4 linked regions of the Arabidopsis thaliana genome follow. The protein of the gene in region 4 interacts with the protein of the main gene of each other region in a pairwise test. Each region holds a gene or a part of one and is shown on either strand. Other genes may lie near its edges.

Region 1 (7,889 bases), on a different chromosome or scaffold from region 4:
TGAAGTTATTGAGACGAGGAGAGTCAGTCAAAGATCAGACGTTTATAGCTTTGGTGTGGTGATTCTCGAAATGCTAACCGGGAAGACACCTTTAACTCAGCCTGGTCTCGAGGATGAGCGTGTCGTCATTGATCTTCCGAGATGGGTTCGGTCTGTTGTGAGAGAAGAGTGGACTGCAGAGGTTTTCGATGTGGAGCTCTTGAAGTTTCAGAACATTGAAGAGGAGATGGTTCAGATGCTTCAGCTAGCGTTGGCCTGTGTTGCAAGGAATCCAGAATCGAGGCCAAAGATGGAAGAGGTCGCGAGGATGATTGAAGATGTGAGGAGATTGGATCAGTCTCAGCAGTTACAGCAAAACAGAACATCCTCAGAGGCTACTTCCAATGTCTCTGAATGATTCCTCATTCCGACCAAAAGTTTCTTTGATCAATTCTACTTCTATCTTATTACTTTTGAATCCCAGTTAAAAATAATTTCTCTTTGCATCGTAGTTTAGTGCTTATGATCAAACGTAACTGCTTTCACTAATGAAAATTGAAAAATCATAACCACTGCTTTAACTACAGAAACAAAAAAATATTCGCTTTCACTTTAATTATAACTTTCCAAAGTAACTAGAGTAAGATATATTCTACACATAAATTTATGACACCAAGACAGAAGAACGAACAGACAGATACACACAACAAAAGTAAAAAAGTGAACAAATAAAACAATGAAAAATAATTTAAATTCTGTGTTTTTTTTAACCCTCAAAACAGGTAAATATTTGCTCGCTTCTCAACAGTTGATTCCACATTCCAGAATGTCCGGGCCAGTGACTCGGCTAGTGAAGGGATCAATCCTAACCCACAACAACGAGAAGATAGAAGCCAAGAGAACAGACCAGACCACAACAATGGTAGGAGTCCGGTTCTGTCGACCCATCAAACCCTTGAGGAAAGGGTACAAGTGAACAATCACCCAGAAGGCAAAGAACAACTTACCAAAGAGTGGTCCCCATGATTGGTATCCACTGTTGATAGCATAAGAGACTCCTGCAACAACTCCCACTAAGTTTACAATGAGCAGCGTCGTTGGCGGAATCAGAAGTGTTGTCCATTTGAACAAGTAGAGCTCAGCAAAGTCTCCGTCTTCATCTGAAGCTTTTGAGGTAACTGTGAAGTTTGTGTCAATACCGGCAAGGACTTTGAGGATACCTTGAAACACAGCGAATAAATGAGCGGATACTCCACCAATGACCCAAAACTGCTCGTTTCTCCACCATTCGTCTATGCCTACGCCACTCCACCTCATTTCTAGTATACCCGTGGCGAAAATGGAGAGAAAGAGAGACAGAAACCATATACTTGCAATGTTACTAATCTGCAAAAGAGGAACAATAGAACCAGCTGATCAGGATTTGGAACCGTAAATAGATGACAAACACAACATGGTTTCAGTTAAACAGAACGTAATTAAGGTTTGTTCTAGAGATAGAGATAGAGATAGAGATAGATAGACAGAGAGAGGTGTCAAACCTGAGGAATAATAAACTGGTTGGTGAAGAGACAAACGGCTGGCAATGTACAATACATGAGAAGAGGAATGGAGGTGATAGGGTAGATGGTGGTGTTCACATACGCAAACCTCTCAAGAAATTTTAGCCTCCCATTGTAACCATACCATATAGGACAATGCCGACTGAAGAGAATCTCAACTGAACCTAAAGCCCACCTCAGCACTTGGTTCAGACGATCTGAAAGATTGATAGGAGCAGAACCCTTGAAAGCTGGAAGCTTAGGCATGCAGTAAATGGATCGCCATCCACGGGCATGCATTTTGAACCCAGTCAGAATATCTTCTGTCACAGAACCATAGATCCATCCAATCTGAAGAAAGACAGCGGAAAATATAAACAAAGTGAATGCCAAAGTGGATATGTCAGAACAATGCAGATTCATGTAGGAGTTCAAATGAGATTATACCTCCATTCCCCAATCTGACTTATCCTCATAACCACAACTAATGACATGGATAGCCTCTTTGAGAAGGTTTTCTGGAGTTGCTGAAGGAGGAACACCACCATTTTCCATTAGGGTAGAAGCAACAAAAACAGCAGACTGTCCAAATCGCTTCTCCAGGCTCATTTGCGACATTAAGAGCGCCTTTTCATCATCAAAACCAGCACCTAAGTTTCACAAATGCCAAATAGTTAAGACATGATGAGATACCTAGTATGGAAACTATTTAGACAACTGTCAACTATAAATAATCCCCTCCCCTGGATCAATATTTCAAACAGCAACATATGGGTATAACGGAAACCAAAGAAGAAATAAAAACAGTTGTACCTTCAACTCCCTCTTCTATGTCATCGAGGTTGAATACAGGAACAGTTGAGTCAGTATGCCTGCCTGATTTCTTTTTGTCCGACTCTTTCTTAGCTTTGGAATTCTTCTTTCTTGATCCACCACAGAGCTTAGATAAAAGACTTGGCTTCTTGTGTTTTACTTTTATTGGAGGTTCATAACCGTATAATGCTGTTCTGTTGAAAACACATCCAGTTCCGACATATACAGGTCCTTGAATCCCATCTAAACCTCTCAAGTTAATCTGGAAAACATATCATGGAAAAATTACGACAAACTCAAGAAACTGTGAGTTTAATGTATATTCGTGTCTAAAAGCAATTTGAAAGAACAAGAAAATTAGACGCAAGTATAGGTAAGTGTGACTTACATCAAAGAACACGGTATTACGATTAGCATATCTATCGTTCTTATCGATACCATCAAATCTTTGTGGGAACTGAACATAACAAACTTGCTTCCCGAGGTTTGGGTCCATCAGGAAGCACATTGCTTCTCTTAAGGCTTTGCTGTTATTTATGTAATGATCACAATCAAGATTCAAGATGAAAGGTCCATTGGTAAGAACTGCTGAAACTCTCACCTATTCATTTGAAAAGTACCCAGATTAGACTAACAAATTGGTCAGAATGAAGAAGTCAAAAATCCAAGATCAGAAACTTACCAGTGCATTCATAGCACCAGCCTTTTTGTGGTGCTGGAATCCTGGTCGCTTTTCTCGAGAAACATATACCAAACGCGGGAGCTCATTGCCCTCTGCATCAAGTCCACCATTTTGCCCTAAGAAGACCTGCATTCAGCAAATGGTACTTCAATAATGAACTTCTAGAGAGAAAGAGAGAGCATTCTCGATTCCATAGTTAAAACCAATTTCTTACCTGGATCATTCCTGGATGGTCCCTTGTATTATTTCCAGGCCACGGTGTGCCATCTTGCATAACCCACCCTTCTTCAGGACATTTTAGGGCTTTGGAAACAAGTGCATTGATTCGGATTTTAAATTCCTCATATTCCCTCTGAAAGAAAATAAAAGGTCAATATAGCATACACTAAAATCAAAGTGAGGGTGACTAGATGACTAAAACTACAAACTTACCTTCATAGCTCTACGATCTTTGACAAATGATGTCTGAACTTTATCCTTCAAGTAATCTATTTTCGCAGCAAAGTACCATTCTGGTGCACGAGGCTCTATGCTATATTTCTTGCAAAATGGTACCCATTTACGAGCAAACTCTGATGTTTCTGCAAGTGATTCAAATGATAACATAGCAGCACCATCATCAGAAACATAACAGGACACCTTGTCAACTGGGTAGTCAACAGCCAGAATAGAGAGCACTGTGTTGGCTGTCACAAGGGGTGGCTCCTTCAAGGGGTCAACAGTACTCACGAAAATGTCAACAGCAGCTAACTGTGATGGCTCACCTTCACGATCATATCTGTCCCAAAAATTGACCATGATCAAATTAAAATGGGAAACAGTATAGGCAAACAATCCTTTGAGTAATTGCTTCAGAAGAATGGGGAAATAGAACTTACCTTAAAGCAAGCCTGTCGAGGTAGGTTTCACGGTTCACAGGAAACCACTTGGGAAACTGATCCAAAATCCAGGATAAGGCAAACCAGATCTCACATATCACAGAGACCAGCCATAGAGCAAAGGCATTTGGCACTGGGTTTGTTATACGGTAATGCAAGAAGAGACAAAGGATAACAAGCCGCAGCATAATAACCATTCTGTAAGGATTGATCCGTGATGAAGGAATTGAAACTTTCCTTGACAGAGGCTGCCTCGCTTCGTCATTCCTGTACAATAAATAAAGAATTGGAAAATGAGTATCAGGACATTGCTTAATAGGAAAAACGCTCGGTACACCACGACAGAACAAACAAGATTACAAAACAAGAACTCACAGCAGAGCCTCATCTGCTAGGATATCTGTGCTGGCATCAATATCTACTCCACCTCTTTCAGAAGCAGCCTGCGTGCTGACAGGACCAGTATTCTTCTCTTGCTTCATTTTCCAGCCATCAACTCTCTCCTTCCAAGCTACATTCCCGAGTCCAACAGGATCCACAATCCTTCTATTTGCTGCAGCGTGAATGACAACAACAGATTTTATTGTTTAGAGTTTTGACATAAAAGAGAAGCCTAGGTACAAATATATGTGTTGGCGAGAGAGTTAGAAATAAAGGATATTTACGTGATTGATTGACATCTGATGAATAGGGAAGGCGCTTTCCCCCAGCGATAGTAGAAGATACAGAGAGGCGTTCAGGTGAGGCAGCAGAAAACTCTCCTGAAGTCTGTAAATAAGCAAATGACAAAATCAGATTCCAAAACTAAATTGCGTGAGGATGCGAATGCTTAAGAGGGAAGAATGAACAGCAATGCCTTACATCTTGTCTGCTCGTGAGACGAGGAAGATGATTGTGAGAGACCTCTTTATCATACTGGGGTTCCCCCATTTCCTCTCCCTTCCCACGAGTAAGATGCCAACCAAGCATCCGCTCTGAAATTTTCTCCTTCTGAGGGTAGTTGAACTCAACAGTACCTTCATCAGCTAAGCCATCCTCGTCTTTATCACCAGGAATAGCAGGACTACCTAGAATCAGAAATTAGCAAATTGCTATAAATACCAATCTGATCCAAAATTCAAAACATACTGATAAACTATCGATGAACAATGAAGACAGTATACTTCAGAAGGATCAAAAGAGAACCTTTGAGCCTCTTGTATCTGGTTTTGCACTGAGGACAAGATTGATTCCCATCTTTCCTCTCATACTCGTAGCAAGGCCGACAAACTGGGAATGAACAAATATCACAAGCCACAAAACGATCTCCATCAACAGTCTTGCCAACATTGTCACTACAGATCTGGCAAGTCTGCGGAACAATGTTCTTCATCGGCTTTCCCTACAAATCAAGTCGAATCAATGAAGCCAAAATTAGAAACCTCAACAGAAAATTTGAAATCAGATCTCTCCAATACACAATTCAACACCCAAATCAATCAATTTCAGTACATATAATTCCTGATTTCGATAAAGGTAAGTATAATGATGAAGCAAGAGTCAAAAAAGCATACCGCGGTTTCTCCTTCGGATTCCATTTGTCACTTAGTTGCTTCCAACACCGAAACGTCGGAATAGTTCAAATCTGATCGGAATTATCAAAAACAGAAACTACGATTAGATCTGAGGAGATCCGAGTAAAGGAAGTCAAATCTGAGAATGGATCATGAGTGTAAGAAGAGTTAAAAGCTTTACCATGAGATCTGAAGATGGAGTGTGGTGATGTGACTCTCTGAATCTCTCTCAATCTGGATCCAAGCTTTCTTCTCTACAGAGAGATAGTTTATAAGGAAGACGAAGAGGAGAATCTTGGGATGGCTAAGAAGATGCAAAGAGCAAGCTATTTGTCTCCTCTACTCGTCACTCTTCCAGATTTTTAAAATATTAATATATTTGTCACAAATCATAATCCAACCAAGCAACAACCACCACCACCACCGACAACTTCCACAGTCGATTTTTTTCTAGTTACAGTTTTACAGTGGCTGTAAAAAAAGTGAAAAAACGGCCGATAAACCTTTAAAATATCCTTAGAAATATATTATCATCGAATTAGTGACTAAATCAAAATAGTAATTGATATTTGATAGTGATATAACTAAAATAGAAGTGTGAAGAACACAACAAATCACAAGTAGTGGGGTAAAGGATATTCATCGTCACTAACTTTCTTACAGATAAAACTTAAAAAGTATTTGCCGACAAAAATAAAACTTCAAAATATTAATTAATCAACGGATTAGTCCAATGAATAAATCAAAATATATTGATAGTGATGCTTTACTTACTAGTATATCAAAATAGGCTAAAACCAGCGGGCTGAAAAAATAAAGGTCCAACTCTAGTATCATCAAGCCCAACAGAATCGAGAAAATGGGTTTGTTGGACTTTGCAGACAAAATTGGTATATGTTCGGTTTACGTTATTTACGAGAGAAAATTGAATCGAACCGAACCCAATAATTAATAGGTCAAACTTTGATAACTGGTGGTGCATGTGGAGATGTGTGGCCACTAGTGCAGCAAAGAACAGACTGTCAGATAGACAAAAGAAGAAAATGGCAAACATTTGAATCCCAAAGAGCGCCACTTTCTCTTCGCTATCCGACAAATCTTCCCTCCTCTTTGTCGTCCCTTTAAACCTTTCCACCTTCTGCTTCGTAACTCTCGTACCCTAGCAATCCTCTACTTAAACCTTCCTTTGTTTCTCCTTCACTTTTCCTGTAAATCTGCTCTTTTGTTCCCTCGATCATATCAATTTTCAAGGTCAGTGAAATCTCATGTTTATTTGGTCCTATGTGAATCAGATTTCAGGGTTTGATATTTGTTTGTTCCGTTGATGTGTTTTGTAGATCTTATGATCTGAGTTACTTGCTCTGTTTTTCTGAGATTTATGGAGGGTCTTTGTCTATGTTTCTTCACCGTTGCAAATGAGTTATAATTTCTGTTTACATGTAGTGAAAAAAGTTCAGTTCTGTGACATAAGAAAGTCTTAAAATTTACGCAACCCTAGTTTTTTTATTTTCTAAGATTTCAATTAAAGAACATTAGCTTGTCTCTTCATGATAGTTTTCCACTGATTATTATCACAACTTTTTTTTTTGTTAGATATTTTTAATCGAAATTATTGTAGAGATAAATATAAATACGTTTTTTTTTTTTTTGGTCAAAAAATATAAATACGTTTAGTTATAGCTAAATCTTAGGAGTATAAAAAAAAAAAAAGTAAATAAAAATCTTACCAGTTTTTATATCTCGTATATCTTCTGTATTTTTAGGGTTTTTCTGTTACATCATTCTATGTTTACGTTTCTTTGATTTTTTTTTGCTTGATCATTTTTAAGTTGATTCGCTTTTTGTTGTTTAAGTGTAATGGATTTTACAACAGTTGAGGTCCCAGATGAGTGGCCACATAATTCGAATTCCTTTGTGGACATCTCAACAGGTATAACCGTATAATTCATTCATGTCTTATTTTGGTTGTGTGCGTTTCCGTTCAAACGTAGAAATCTTATTAGACATATCAATTGTCAAGTTTCAGATCACAATGGATCTTCACCTCCTGTAACTCCAAAGTCTGATACAGTAGCTTCCAACTTTGACCAAGGAAGTTCTGATGTTTCTGGCAATCATGATTCTAACTCTTCTTATTCCGATTTAGATTCGGACACGGAGGCCTTTTACTCATCTTTTAACCATCACCTCGTATCACCAGGGTCAATGGATAGCCATGACTTATCCCCGGAGAAACAAATGAGTTATGAAGAATTGATGAAGAAATATGTCCAGTGTGAAGAAGAGCTTAGGACTACGAGTTTGAAACTTCAAGAATTTGAGCAAGAGATTGAGAAACTAAAGGAGACCGAGAAAAAAGAATCGGTTGTTCTGTTTGGCGAGTATCTACGTGGTGAGCGAGAAATCGCACAAGGAGAAATTGCGATTAGGGACATAGCTATTG
Region 2 (5,006 bases), on a different chromosome or scaffold from region 4:
CCACCAGAAGCAGCAGTATTATCCTCTTCCTGGCCATCTTTTCCAGCTTCACTCCCAAGAATAGGCAAGGAGCTAGTAATAGGCATTTCATTTTTGTTATCCTTGTCCAGAACTGACAGAGTCTCTGCGGAGTAAGACAGCAAAAGAAAAAAATGTTGCTACAACATGAATCAACCCATCGAAAGGTAAACAAATCTGGTAAGGTCTCCATGGCGGGGCAATATACAAAGAAACAAGCTAGTGCAATTACTATGGCCCAAAATAGAAAAATCGTTACCAGGAGCTTTTACAGCTTCTGTTACTACATTCTCTTCAAAAATTAATTCCTCAGACTGCTGCTGCAAAACTTGTCCAACACCATCAGCATCTACTGCATCCTTTGACCCTTCAGAGCGAGGACAGCCTTCAACAGAGTATGTACTTTGCTTAGTACCTTCAGCACGCTTCCTAGCTTCTTGGTCCATCTGACTCCCTGAACAACTTGCATCCACAGGTGGAACGGTTTGACCATTTTCAGGTTCACCATAAACCTTCTTGGTTTCAGAGTAACTGCCTTGGTCACTGTCATCAGAGGATGTCTTTACCATATGTAAATCTATTGAAGATGTGAGACTGACAGCAGGTGCTCCATCTTGACTTAGAGGTTGTAATTCTTCGAGATTGAGAGAACTGTCAATCATAGTCTCTGTGGAAAACATTTAGGGGGAAACAAGTAAATTACTTGAAGTAATCATGATATATACATTTACAGTGGAAAGGTGACCCCGACAGAAGCAAAAAAAAAAGCTGAACAAGGGCTACTTAGAGAACGAGAAGGCAAAACGTAAAAGTACACAGTATGAAAATAGAGTATATTAAAAGGATTAGAAAATATGTTTACCTGACTTGTCTGTTGGAATGCTGTCAGATTGAGATTCTGACTCCGCCAACTCTGAAGTAGAGCCTCCTGAAACATAGCCAACAGAACCAGACACAACGCTTTCAGATAGGATCTGAGAGTTCTTGACATCTTGATCTCTATCATTGGCATTGACAGGCAGTTCCATGCTTTGCTCGAGATTAGAAGTGCGAGCACTACCTTCATTGTCACTCTTCTTAGACACACCACCTTCTCTAGCTTCAACCATTGAGTCCATCGTTGAAATATAAACACTCTCTGAAGTTTCAAATACGTGTATCTGCGGATATGTCTCAGTCTCTATCTGAAAAGTAGACTCATGTTCACTTGTAATAACTTCCATATGTTGATGACTAAGCAACTCGGGCTTCTCAATGGAAACACTGTTTGTTATAGTTGTCAATTCCCCAGCAAGTTCCAAAGACGCTTCAACAGCTACGCTAGTATGAACAGTGCTGACAAGGAGATCTTGGCATTCGGTCCCAGAAACATCTTGTCCACCTACCTCAAGAGTAGAGGGAGCTTGGTCCCCTCTTTCTAGTACTGTGACATCAGATAGCTCTATCTCCTTCAAATCAGGCTTTGCAGTTTTGCCAATATTTTCAGCTTCCACTTTTTCAACTTCGGAAGCTGAGTCTATATGGCTATCAGAATGACCTTCAACCAAAATTGACCGTGCATCTGCAGTTAGATCATTGCGGTTATAACTACTTTGAATGTGGTCGCTGATAACATTTTCATCATTGGAAGTCTCTGGAAGTAAAGTGCTCTGATTATTCAACTCACCGCTACAAGTAATAATAGTCTGTACATTCCCATCGCTACAATCATCTTCCATCCTTGATTCTACATTGGCTTTCTCTTCTGTTTGGTCAAGAAGATTATCCGTCGTCTCAGTTCCTATTTTACCAAGATCAGTAGTATCTATAGCCTCTACCGTCGCGGTATTAGAAGTCAAGATGGAATTCTTTTCCTCCACAGATGCCTCTTCTACAGCCGTTGGTGAGTCATCTTTAACCAGAACCTGCTCCTGTCCATCATCTGTCTTTACCACAGAGGACTCTCCTGGAGTATCATCCACAGAGGGGTTGGGTTGTAAGTTCACCGTTTCCTCTTTGGAAAGACTTCTTTCATGGGATGTCTGACCAGGCTCTACTGTTTCCATTGTGCAGCCTAGTTCATGAGAAGTGTCAGATTTCTTGATAGTATCCTCTCTTACAATAACTTCGTCCTGTCCAACTGAATTCAAAAGCATTGCAACAGATTCCGACGAAGTAGCCTCAGACCAAACATTATTGTGCCTAGAAATGGCACAGGACTCCGTTGCACCTGAACTAAACACTATACCACTACTTCCACGAGAGAAATCCTCAATCCAGTTATTATCTTCGTTACCCTCAATACCAAGAAAAGCTTCAGATTCACCTAAACTATCAAACCTCAGATGCGTGTTGAGTGTATCATCAAAATCAAACTTTGGAAGAGCATAAGGCTGTAAAACTGGTGGAAATTTGTTGTTGGCTTCACCAGCTAAATGGAGATTCTGGTTTTGAAAGTCACTGTCATCATAATCCATGAGTTTATTCCTGAAATCAGAGACATATATAAACATCAAACAACCAAAAGAAACAAAAGCATAACACAACAACCGTGAAACATATTTAAAGAAGCGACTCTGGTCATTTTCTTGTCGAGTGGAGTAAAACAGTAGGAAAGCGAAAAGTACCGACACAAGAGTGTATGGAGACGCTACCTCCCTCCATTCGGTGACAAGAAAACCTGGCCGTCAGACCTCAACTGTTACCTAATCGCACGTTCATCTACTACTGCTCCACCAACAACAAAACCATACGCGTCAATTATAAAATCTCTTCCTTCTCAAAATTCAAGGGCACACGAAAACCTAAAAGAGTGAACTTTCTTAAAATGATAAATTGAAACGCTAGCGAAGAAGTTAAACTCACCGGAAAATTCAAACTGACGGAGGTGACCTAGGGTTCCGGCGAAGAAACGAGGTTTGGCGAGTGAAGCAGATTGGGAGAGAAATGCCCGATAAATTATATTCGCTTTCCTCGGCAAATGAAATGAGTCTGGTTTAAGTAAAGCCCAAAATTAAATAAATATTTGGAGAGAAAATAAAGATGGATACTGATGCCGCTTAATCCATAGTGACACGTGTCGAATTTTCTGGATCGTGTGGCTAATATTGAACTTAAACAAAAAGACGCGAAAGGTTTTTTACTTTTAAATTAACGTACGTTAAAATTTAGTGTAATTTACTGGCTAGAGTTCCGTTAAAAGAAAATTAAATGACCAAGAGGTAAAAGAAAACAACTTTTGTTTGACGTGACTGTGGTAAAAGTTAGAAGATTTATTGTTGAAATGACTATTGACTACTGATTAGTGTAATGAAGATGATTGGTTGGCTAAACAAAATGGAAAGTGTCTTAAGGATAAAATTAGAGAAGAGACATGTCACTCACTAACTAATAGATAGAGGCTTTTGTGTGTTAGGCAATTGACGGATTGGACTTTTGGACCATCAGATCAAAAGGAATCCATTGGGATATTTATATGGGCTTAGGCCCACTTTATAATTTTTTTCTGTTAGGTTTTTTTGGTATTTTGGTTTATGAATGATAGTATTTGTACCATAGATGGTTTGGTACGGTTTCGTATTGGTATTGGTTCGACTTCAAGTTTTAATCAAATGTTTATTTAACTTGAAAACAAAATTGGATTTAAAATCAGGTTTTTCTTTCTGTTTGTTTAGTTTGGATTCGAATTCAATATTTTGAATAGGAAAAATGAATTCATAATTTTAAAAAAAATATAGTTCATTTTCAGATCGATTATTTGAGTTTGGACGTTTGGTTCATAATATCAGTTTACTGGGATGGAATAATTTTCAACTTTTAAGCGGTAGTGGGTGGAAAAACATTTGTCAGGGATCGGTTTAATCTAGGATTGAGCATTCCACTTCGTTGTTCTATACTGCAAATTAAATTCATGATAATAAAAAACTATCCATAAACCATATACTAAAAATATTACTTTTAAAATTCATGGGGCGGAGAAAGTATTATAAACAACCATCCTCTCTGCAAATTTTTATTTAATGTCACCACTACTTTGGATCACTTTTCTAAGATCTTAAGTTTTCTGTTTGTTGCAATTTTATTACATGTATATGCCAATATCTCTTACACACCAACTCCAAACAAAGCAGCGGTGGTACATGAATTAACTCCTAATCCCTATTAATATTTTAGGCGTTTAGCACCTCCCAAACTAAAAAATACAAATTGTAACCAAAAAAAATATATATAGATATAAAAGAATACGACCATCTATCATAATTGGTGTGAGACAACATTAGTTTAAATGCAGGATATTAACATGACAACAGAACACTCTTATCTTCACATATTATGAAATACCTTATCCATCATTTTCATAGCATTATACCAATTGGTTGTCTTTAATCATCTTCGATGTCACTAACCCTCAAAATTCAAAAGAAAATGAATAGTCTAAATAATTGGCGGTTTGGGCGGCATCCAATTGTGACAGGCCACGTAGAGTGGGACCAACAACTTCATTACCTCGTTTGGCTCTTTGCTATATATAAAGTCAAGCATTAGTATGCCCAAAACCACACAAATAGAAATAACTTGTAATCAACCAAAGTCGAAAAACAGAGTTATTTTGTCGGATCAAAATGGTGAAGATTGAGATAGGAAGTGTGGGTGACTCCTTTAGTGTAGCATCTCTTAAGGCTTACTTGTCTGAATTTATCGCAACTCTTCTCTTTGTGTTTGCTGGCGTTGGCTCTGCTCTTGCTTTTGCCAAGCTCACATCCGATGCAGCCTTGGACCCCGCTGGTCTTGTCGCTGTCGCTGTGGCTCACGCCTTTGCCCTTTTCGTTGGTGTTTCCATAGCCGCCAACATCTCCGGCGGACACCTTAACCCCGCCGTGACACTCGGTCTCGCCGTCGGTGGCAACATCACAGTAATAACCGGTTTCTTTTACTGGATTGCTCAATGCCTTGGCTCCATCGTCGCGTGTCTCCTCCTCGTCTTCGTTACCAATGGCGAGGTACACAAA
Region 3 (5,219 bases), on a different chromosome or scaffold from region 4:
GAATATCTTAGTAGGATCTATATGATGAATACTAAATGTCTCAAACCATCACAGTTTATAACATGAAATTCTATTATGACACTCTGAATTTGAAATATATTTTCTATGCCACCTAAATAACTCTTTGTTGAATATAATTTTTATTTTCTTAATAGGATATGCAAAAATTAATATTTTATCACTTTGTAAGATCTAATCAAGAGTAATTAAGAGTTAATCAGCAGTTAACTTATGAATTAAATCAAGTGTTAACATGCATTTCAAAAGATTAAAATCACAAAAGAGAAAAATGTTTTCTTAAAAAAAAATAAAAAAATCTTATCGTCTTTTATTGTCCCAAAGAAGATAACGAACTCTGTACAAAAGCTTCTAACCGTCGTTTAAATTTTCCATAACTTTGTAAGGAACAAATGAGGTAAAATTTTAGTTTACTTAAAATTTAGTTATGTTACACGACATCAGAATAAACTTACAGAGACAAACAAAACGTGTAAGGCCTTGAACCAAGATAACTACGTCTAGTTCCAAAACCGCTTTTGGCTTTATTCAATTTCCTTGTTTATCATAGTATCGTAGCATCTTTGTTATTCAGTTTGAATGATAATAGTATTGTGGTTAAGAGTATAGTAAAACATCTACAACAATACTCCGTAATTAGTATTTTGATAGATTAATATATTTTGGTCTTAAATTACTATTTTTGAATCAATTAGTAACTTTATAAATTAATCAAATCTTATATATTTTCGACATTACTAACATAGTATATTGTTTTTATTGTTATATATGTCATCAATCACAAAAAGAAGAACTATTTGTATTGAAGGCCACCACTTATCTCTTATTGTGTTTATATCTCAACTAGTTATTATGTTAAAGGTAAAACTCTTATCATATAGAGCCCAAACTGTTCTAATAACAACAATTAAAGATAAATCTAAATTTTGATAATTTGACTAACATCTATGTTGTATCTCATATGCAAAAATATATGTTTGTGATTTCACTATGCAAAATTAACATCTATGTTAAAACTTTCTATATGAAAATATTATAGTTTTTTAATAATACTTACACATCCAACATTCAAACAATGTGATTTCACTCCATAGCGTTTTTTGTTATTTTGAGATGTTAATTTTGTAATGCAACCTAAACATCTTCATCTTCTCAAAAAATCTTGGTATACTTTAAATATGTTGTTTCTGCTTACTTTTTTTTTGGTTTATAAACATTTGATTATTCTTGTTTCAGTTGATGAAATCTCTAACTTGTTTTTCTTTTTGATCATGTTATAGAGTTGTAGTTCCACTTGAGAATATGTCTGCTATGCAAATTACATATCATCTTTTTCAATGGCTTACATATAATTGTTGTAAAATTCATGAATAATATCACTTGATTATTTAATGTTATAGAAGATGGATTAAAATGTTTAAAACTTTTCAAGATTTTTTTTGAAATTTCAATAATATGACCAAATTGTTTTTTTTTTTGAATTTGTTTGGAATATTCCATAACAACCGGACCTTGGAAAATAAATACATGCATGTTTGTTTGTGTATGATGAATACATAGACATGTTTGTGGTTGTGGCTATCATGAGTCCCTTCGTTAATAAACAATGATGTAGGACCAATAGCTATTCAATAACCAACAAAACGATCACACACCAAGAAACTCTTCTTCACTCTCTCTAATTCTCATTCTCATTTCTCACCATACAATTTTTCATCTCCCTCTCTTTATCCTTTTCTAGATTTTCTTTTTACCCTTCAATCACTTATCTCTATCTATCTACCTTTCATGCTCTTTCACCACTCCTTCCATAAAAATCTATCAATAATCACTTCCTCTCTCTCTCTCTCTCTCTTATACAACACTCAAGAAGCGAGACACAGAGGAGAGAGTTAGTCTTCTTCTCTGTTTTTGTCTCTTTGGCTATATATATTCAAACATTGTGTGAACAGAACACAAATCAACACAACACACACAACTTTGTGTTCTTTAAGTTTTGTTTCAGAGATCAATGGCCGGGACTGGATTGTTTGCTGAGATTCTTGATGGAGAAGTATACAAATACTACGCTGATGGTGAGTGGAAAACTTCTTCCTCAGGTAAGAGTGTTGCCATCATGAACCCGGCCACGAGGAAGACACAGTACAAGGTTCAAGGTATATCTCATTAAGTTTCATTCTTTCTTGATTTCAGATATTGGCAAAAATTTGGAGATATATACTAGAAATATTGATGAATTTTGGTAGATTGATTACTTGAACAAGTTTTGATAACAACCTAAGAATCTCCGAAGATAAACAGAGAAGATAAAAACAGAGGATTTCAAGATAAGACAATGTTCTGTTTTTCTGTTTAACACAGCATGCACGCAAGAAGAAGTGAACGCGGTGATGGAACTGGCGAAATCAGCTCAGAAATCGTGGGCGAAAACTCCTCTTTGGAAAAGAGCTGAGCTTCTTCACAAGGCTGCAGCAATCCTTAAGGACAACAAAGCTCCCATGGCTGAGTCTCTTGTTAAAGAAATCGCTAAACCCGCCAAAGATTCTGTTACTGAGGTCTCACCATATCCCTCTCTATGCATCAACTTCATACGAAGCTCTTTTTGTTTTGTGTTTTTCAAGATCTTTAATGTTTGATATTGGTGAAAGGTTGTGAGGTCTGGAGATTTGATCTCTTATTGTGCTGAAGAAGGTGTTAGGATCTTAGGTGAAGGGAAGTTTCTTCTCTCCGATAGCTTCCCCGGTAATGACCGTACTAAGTACTGCCTCACTTCCAAGGTATAATCTCTTAGATTCATATGTATGCGTCAATAGTTGAAGTTGTTAACAAATGTTTTGATCAAATTATGTGTTTGTTTTCTGATCTGAAGATTCCACTCGGTGTGGTTTTGGCTATTCCTCCATTCAATTATCCAGTTAATCTCGCTGTATCGAAGATCGCTCCTGCTTTGATCGCCGGAAACTCCCTTGTCCTCAAACCTCCAACTCAAGTAACTAAGAAGCTTTTAACACTCTTTTAAAATGAATGTTTTGAAAATGCTTTTTAACGGTCAGTTTCTTTAGGGAGCTGTTTCTTGCCTTCACATGGTACATTGCTTTCACTTAGCCGGTTTCCCAAAAGGTCTTATCAGCTGCATCACCGGAAAAGGATCTGAGATCGGCGATTTCCTCACTATGCACCCTGCTGTTAACTGCATTAGGTATATATATATACACACATTCAACAAAACAGGTTATGTTCATTTTAACTGCTAATATTTCTGATAACCGGTTTCAGTTTCACGGGTGGTGATACCGGAATCTCAATCTCAAAGAAAGCTGGTATGATCCCTCTTCAAATGGAACTTGGAGGTAAAGATGCATGCATTGTTCTAGATGATGCTGATCTTGATTTAGTTGCTTCCAATATCATCAAAGGAGGATTCTCTTACAGGTATTATGCTATAGCTAGCCTAGTTACAATGAATGTAGTTAACCAATTGTGATTATGTGTTAACCGGTTTTATCTACCTTAACCAGCGGGCAGAGATGCACTGCGGTTAAGGTAGTCCTAGTGATGGAATCAGTAGCGGATGAGCTTGTTGAGAAAGTGAAAGCTAAAGTGGCCAAACTCACGGTGGGACCGCCCGAAGAGAACTCCGATATCACGGCAGTGGTGTCGGAATCTTCAGCTAATTTCATTGAAGGATTGGTGATGGATGCTAAGGAGAAAGGAGCAACGTTTTGTCAAGAGTATAAAAGAGAGGGTAACTTGATTTGGCCGTTGCTTTTGGATAATGTTAGACCGGACATGAGGATCGCGTGGGAGGAACCATTCGGTCCTGTTGTGCCGGTCTTGAGGATCAATTCTGTTGAAGAAGGGATTAATCATTGCAATGCAAGCAACTTTGGCCTTCAGGTTTGGCTATATGGATTTGGTTTAGTCCGGTTTATATGGTTTGCATTTAACCAGAGCTAACACAATAATTGCATTTGAAGGGATGTGTATTCACTAAAGACATCAACAAGGCAATACTGATCAGTGATGCAATGGAGACAGGAACCGTTCAGATCAACTCTGCGCCAGCTCGTGGACCGGACCACTTCCCTTTCCAGGTAAACCATCGATGTCTAGACCCTTTTTTGCCTCCGTTATGACCGGTTTGATTAACTCGGTTTTGGATTGGAATAAACAGGGACTTAAGGACAGTGGAATAGGGTCACAAGGTGTGACAAATAGCATCAATTTGATGACTAAAGTGAAGACCACTGTCATTAACTTGCCTACACCTTCTTACTCTATGGGTTAGTTTCCCTTTTTTTTTATGTTCTTCATCTTAGAATCAAAATCAATCATGTCATGTTTGTATTGGATTCAATCGAATACTGCGAATAAAGGGAGTGATTAGCGTAACTATTATGGTTTGTAATCTCTATGTAACCAATAAGAGGATATTATGAAAGATGAGTGAGAGGTTTGGTTGTGTTGTGTTATAACAGGGGACGGTTTCATCTCACGCCTGTGATTCGAGCACACAAAACTGAAAACTTCTTTTGATAATTGGAGTTTTATCATTTAAAATAATTTTGATTTTGGTTAATGGTAATAATTGAAAATATATTCCATTTTAAGATAATCGTTTGAGACCAATCTCATTGATTTCTCCGTTGGAATTTTCCAAAAATTTACTACAATAAAGTATTCTTTCAGATGGTATCGAAAGTACAAACTGGTCAGATGAATACTTTTTGTATGGAGTATTAATGTGGTAAAAAAAAGTATCAAGTTCTGTCTGAATATAATTAACCGAATAAGAATAACTGTGGGAGTAAAGAAAAAATAAATGTGGGAGTACGTACCATTTACGGATTTACCATTTTAAGACATTCACACTAATAAATTATAAGTCGATTTATGGTAATTGAATGGTAATTGCAGTCGAGATTAAAGTTAAACAGAATAGTTTTTTTTTTTCAAACAACTGTAGATTTTTAGTTGACAATGACAGCGGAAGTTCAAGAAGAGATAATCGAAGAGATCTAAAAAAAAACAAATTCAGTTTCCAATTGATGGAAGAAAGAAAGTCCACTCTCAAGTCTCAGTTCTCATCCTTGCTTGCATTAGACATTGAGACATTGATATTTTATTTTTAAAATATGATCACCAGATTATTAGGTGGAAGAATATCCTAAGAAGTTGTGGAAGTGTAATGCTCTATTTTC
Region 4 (4,487 bases):
CATTCCAGAGACGATTAATCTCGAGAGCTATATAGATGAAGCAAGAAGTCATTTCATTCGTAACTATTCTTCCTCTCATTTCACATCTTCAATGACTAGCGGGTATCGTCCTCAGGAGGTAGATGAAGGAGGAGGAAATATCTCATTTGCAGAGGAAATCGCTAGAAGGAAAAGAAGAGGAAGTATGAGTAACAATGTTGTTGATGAACTGACTCAGTACTTATCAGAGTCTATAGTTCCAATGCAGACTGATGTGCTTGATTGGTGGAAGGTAAACAGTGGAAGATACCCGCGACTTTCCAACATGGCTCGGGATTTCCTTGCGGTTCAGGCGACTTCTGCTGCACCGGAAGAGATCTTTTGTGGTAAAGGAGAAGAGATTGATAAGCAGAAGTATTGCATGCCTCATGATAGCACACAATCTGTTATTTGTATCAGATCATGGATTGAAGCTGGTATGAAACTGAAGTACAAGTGTAGTGAGATTGACTATGAACGACTAATGGAGTTAGCTGCCACCGTGGCCGCTGATAATTCTGCCGGAGGTTTAGAAAAAATTCAACAACATAGGTGAGATTATTTTTTAGTATTTGTACTAAAGAACTACTGTAATTTAGTTGTCATACTTTTAGCATGAATCATTGAATTTAGAGTTGGGTTGATGTAAACCAAGCTGGTTAGCTTTCTTCATAACCGTATGTACTTTCATATCATATTAGAGAGAAAAAAAAACACAATGTTGACTAATTAATGGGTTCTGTCTAACTAGAAAAGTGGAAATTAGTTGTACGAAAAAAGAAAATAGCTTATCTCTTTCTTTGTACCTTAGATTTTTCCTTGGTATAATGGATATCGATATGTCCAAGTCCAGTGTTTGAGTGACCAAGTTGTTGCTTTAATTTAATCTAGTTCAAATACGACTACTTTTGTGTTGTACCTCTCTACCTTACCTTCCTCGAATTTTCAATTCGTGTGCTAGTTTGCCAATTGTTTCTTTATAATTTTGTCGTCTCTATGATTGTTTAAGCATATTTAAATATTTGAGAGAAAAAAATACTAAGAGTTCAGTCGTATTTTGAAAAGTCCTCGCACTCCAAGTTTTAAAGTTGAATTCATTCTGTCATGGAAACGTACCTTTGTGGTTTTTCATTTCGATAGACATTTTTTAACTCTTCTGATAAATTCAAAATGTTTTTTTACATTGGTTAAAATTTGTTGCCAATTTCAATAAAGCTTTTTTTTTACTCGTTATAAAATTAAAAACTTGCTGAGAAATTATAGTTTCATATATACTTTGGACCGACGGTCAATACCAAAAAACTAAAATAAAATTTTGGTCAAGAATCGGGTCAATACAAAATATCTCCAAAGATCGAAGAGAAAGTTCAACAGGATTTTAATTTAATTGGTGTTCCGGACCTGCCGGCGCCGTATTATAATTCTTCAATAAATTTTATATTTTGGATTGCATAATCAAAACTATTTGCATAGCAGACATAGATTTCAAAATAAATTGATACGTAATTAGCTATTTACATAGGCAAGACAATTTTACGTTACATATTTTGCATGCTTGATATTCATTCTTTTTTTTTAGCAACCTTTGCTATATTCATTCTATTTTTTCCCCTTTTTTTGCTACTATCAATATCATATCAGATGTGGCGGTTCTTATGCATGGGATTATGAAAAATGATATTATATAATAGATGTCTTCGTAGTATTTTTTTATTGACAATCAAAATAAAATAAATTAGTTTAAGAAAGATCAAAAGTCTAGTGTCAAAATGTCCACTGACAAAAGTTAGCAGTTTTTCTTTTATGTAATAATCCGATTATAAAAAATTGCGTTAAGGAATCATAATGAGCCATGTGTCAGTCATATTTAAACGACGACGTTGGCAGCAGCCACACGTACAGCCTCAGGCAAGCATAAATAGAGATGGGCTCTTTCCTATAAGTTTCCCACTTTGCAAAGTGTAACACAAACAGTTCTCTTTAGAGAAAAAAAGATTCTCTCTATAAAACCTTCTCTTTGTGTCTCTCTTTGTGGTAAGAAAACAGAGCAACTAGATCTCTCTTCTCCTCTGCTCGTTCAATGTTATAACGATCTCGAGTATCACAAAAGAACAAGATGTCTATTCGAAGAATCTACCGATGTCTGAATTCTTTAATCAAAAGATCTTGTGCTCAATCTCTATGATCATACGCCCCATTTCACACTTTGTTTCACCTCTCAGTTTTTTTTTTTGTGTTTTTTTGTCCCTCTTTGTTTCACTTGAGAACAACCCCCTTTGAACTCGATCAAGAAAGCTAAGTTTGAAGAATCAAGAATGGTGCGGACACCGTGTTGCAAAGCTGAACTAGGGTTAAAGAAAGGAGCTTGGACTCCCGAGGAAGATCAGAAGCTTCTCTCTTACCTTAACCGCCACGGTGAAGGTGGATGGCGAACTCTCCCCGAAAAAGCTGGTATGTATTATTTTTTATTATGTTTATTCCGTCATGTTTGAATATTCAATGTTGGACCTTTATTGGTCATTATTGCTCAATTATTTTACTTAAATAATTCTTCTAATTGGATAGGACTCAAGAGATGCGGCAAAAGCTGCAGACTGAGATGGGCCAATTATCTTAGACCTGACATCAAAAGAGGAGAGTTCACTGAAGACGAAGAACGTTCAATCATCTCTCTTCACGCCCTTCACGGCAACAAGTTAGTCTCTCTACCTCTACATTTTATACTTATTTTTTGTTTGCATTAACATTTACTAATATTGTAATCTTATATGTGGTTTTAATCAGATGGTCTGCTATAGCTCGTGGACTACCAGGAAGAACCGATAACGAGATCAAGAACTACTGGAACACTCATATCAAAAAACGTTTGATCAAGAAAGGTATTGATCCAGTTACACACAAGGGCATAACCTCCGGTACCGACAAATCAGAAAACCTCCCGGAGAAACAAAATGTTAATCTGACAACTAGTGACCATGATCTTGATAATGACAAGGCGAAGAAGAACAACAAGAATTTTGGATTATCATCGGCTAGTTTCTTGAACAAAGTAGCTAATAGGTTCGGAAAGAGAATCAATCAGAGTGTTCTGTCTGAGATTATCGGAAGTGGAGGCCCACTTGCTTCTACTAGTCACACTACTAATACTACAACTACAAGTGTTTCCGTTGACTCTGAATCAGTTAAGTCAACGAGTTCTTCCTTCGCACCAACCTCGAATCTTCTCTGCCATGGGACCGTTGCAACAACACCAGTTTCATCGAACTTTGACGTTGATGGTAACGTTAATCTGACGTGTTCTTCGTCCACGTTCTCTGATTCCTCCGTTAACAATCCTCTAATGTACTGCGATAATTTCGTTGGTAATAACAACGTTGATGATGAGGATACTATCGGGTTCTCCACATTTCTGAATGATGAAGATTTCATGATGTTGGAGGAGTCTTGTGTTGAAAACACTGCGTTCATGAAAGAACTTACGAGGTTTCTTCACGAGGATGAAAACGACGTCGTTGATGTGACGCCGGTCTATGAACGTCAAGACTTGTTTGACGAAATTGATAACTATTTTGGATGAGTGAAACTCATAATCGATGAATCCCACGTGACCATGTCAATATGATGTCTATGGATATGTTACCTTGATGATGTTGATGGTAATAATAATAAATAATGATGGTGATGATGACCATGCATGAATCATGAATGTAGTTCGTGTTGTCACATATGCTTGTGTTTTTGTGTTTTTTTTTTTTGGTCTGAAGTGTGTTGTTTCGTTGTAAATGGATTATAAATGGTGATGTAATAATTATAATGTTAACGAGTTGTTAACTTTAGTACTTTTATTGTGTTGGTTATCAGAATTTGTATCCATCCGAATATGAGATTGCTTTATTTTGAAAAATCATTCATTAGCTGCTGCTGCTGCTAACTACTAGTACCATTGCTATTTTAAATTTTAATTGGCAGTATTCCACTATTAGGTCATCTTCATCTGTAAGATACTTTAAAAGGTTTTAAAATAAAATAAAAAATTACTGTAATTTAATTTTGTAATTATTTTTTTTTAAAAAAAATATTCAATTATAAGCAAACACTTATAGAAATAGTCTTTCACTGATTATTCCAAAATTTCTCAAGAAACGTTTCTTCATTTTTTGTCATTCTCTCTCCTCATTTATTAATTATTTATATTATCTTTATCAAAAGAAACTCTAAAAATTGTATGGATGGAGATGCTCTGGTTTATTTTATGAGTTAGGGCTAATAGATTGAGCAGATTGGTAAAGAAATATATCCTCAACCAGTTTTGTATATTAAAAAAAAAACCAACGATTAACTTATTTTGTGACTTAAATCTTTCATTCTCTAATGTATATAAAATTCACCCTATCAACATACGAATAATATTCAGCAATGAGACCCACATAAATTTAAAGCAAGCGAGAGGATCATTCTTTGAATGTTCC

The links.
Region 1: the proteins of MYB51 (region 4) and CEV1 interact in a two-hybrid assay, tested with the Arabidopsis thaliana proteins (one study listed by BioGRID).
Region 2: the proteins of MYB51 (region 4) and G2484-1 interact in a two-hybrid assay, tested with the Arabidopsis thaliana proteins (one study listed by BioGRID).
Region 3: the proteins of MYB51 (region 4) and ALDH11A3 interact in a two-hybrid assay, tested with the Arabidopsis thaliana proteins (one study listed by BioGRID).

The regions. Positions count from the first base shown.
Region 1 is NC_003076.8:1,529,621-1,537,509, forward strand, and holds CEV1 (Cellulose synthase family protein), read right to left. Parts: upstream 5,939-7,889; 5' UTR 5,628-5,938; intron 5,518-5,627; 5' UTR 5,471-5,517; coding exon 5,447-5,470; intron 5,275-5,446; coding exon 5,079-5,274; intron 4,961-5,078; coding exon 4,755-4,960; intron 4,662-4,754; coding exon 4,559-4,661; intron 4,447-4,558; coding exon 4,269-4,446; intron 4,161-4,268; coding exon 3,894-4,160; intron 3,794-3,893; coding exon 3,448-3,793; intron 3,368-3,447; coding exon 3,230-3,367; intron 3,142-3,229; coding exon 3,016-3,141; intron 2,935-3,015; coding exon 2,722-2,934; intron 2,596-2,721; coding exon 2,334-2,595; intron 2,171-2,333; coding exon 1,968-2,170; intron 1,872-1,967; coding exon 1,521-1,871; intron 1,366-1,520; coding exon 781-1,365; 3' UTR 512-780; downstream 1-511. Other genes in the region: RUL1 (Leucine-rich repeat protein kinase family protein), read left to right, coding at 1-397; AT5G05180 (myosin heavy chain, striated protein), read left to right, coding at 7,304-7,376, 7,473-7,889. UniProt on the Arabidopsis thaliana protein: Catalytic subunit of cellulose synthase terminal complexes ('rosettes'), required for beta-1,4-glucan microfibril crystallization, a major mechanism of the cell wall formation. Involved in the primary cell wall formation, especially in roots.
Region 2 is NC_003075.7:9,694,699-9,699,704, forward strand, and holds the start of G2484-1 (G2484-1 protein), read right to left. Parts: upstream 3,009-5,006; 5' UTR 2,863-3,008; intron 2,725-2,862; 5' UTR 2,652-2,724; exon of another isoform or gene 2,625-2,651; intron 2,485-2,624; 5' UTR 2,475-2,484; coding exon 881-2,474; intron 686-880; coding exon 278-685; intron 125-277; coding exon 1-124. Other genes in the region: TIP2;2 (tonoplast intrinsic protein 2;2), read left to right, coding at 4,620-4,997. UniProt on the Arabidopsis thaliana protein: Under salt stress, appears to prevent the accumulation of reactive oxygen species (ROS) in roots and required for the maintenance of cell wall integrity (cellulose, pectin and lignin composition) by interacting with importin alpha (e.g.
Region 3 is NC_003071.7:10,326,412-10,331,630, reverse strand, and holds ALDH11A3 (aldehyde dehydrogenase 11A3), read left to right. Parts: upstream 1-1,622; 5' UTR 1,623-1,806; coding exon 1,807-1,909; exon of another isoform or gene 1,910-2,012; coding exon 2,013-2,174; intron 2,175-2,379; coding exon 2,380-2,573; intron 2,574-2,666; coding exon 2,667-2,795; intron 2,796-2,887; coding exon 2,888-3,007; intron 3,008-3,080; coding exon 3,081-3,217; intron 3,218-3,294; coding exon 3,295-3,450; intron 3,451-3,536; coding exon 3,537-3,915; intron 3,916-3,995; coding exon 3,996-4,112; intron 4,113-4,192; coding exon 4,193-4,306; 3' UTR 4,307-4,496; coding exon of another isoform or gene 4,497-4,522; 3' UTR 4,523-4,706; downstream 4,707-5,219. UniProt on the Arabidopsis thaliana protein: Important as a means of generating NADPH for biosynthetic reactions.
Region 4 is NC_003070.9:6,387,432-6,391,918, forward strand, and holds MYB51 (myb domain protein 51), read left to right. Parts: upstream 1-1,967; 5' UTR 1,968-2,333; coding exon 2,334-2,469; intron 2,470-2,583; coding exon 2,584-2,713; intron 2,714-2,802; coding exon 2,803-3,595; 3' UTR 3,596-3,955; downstream 3,956-4,487. Other genes in the region: AT1G18560 (BED zinc finger and hAT dimerization domain-containing protein), read left to right, coding at 1-574. UniProt on the Arabidopsis thaliana protein: Transcription factor positively regulating indolic glucosinolate biosynthetic pathway genes.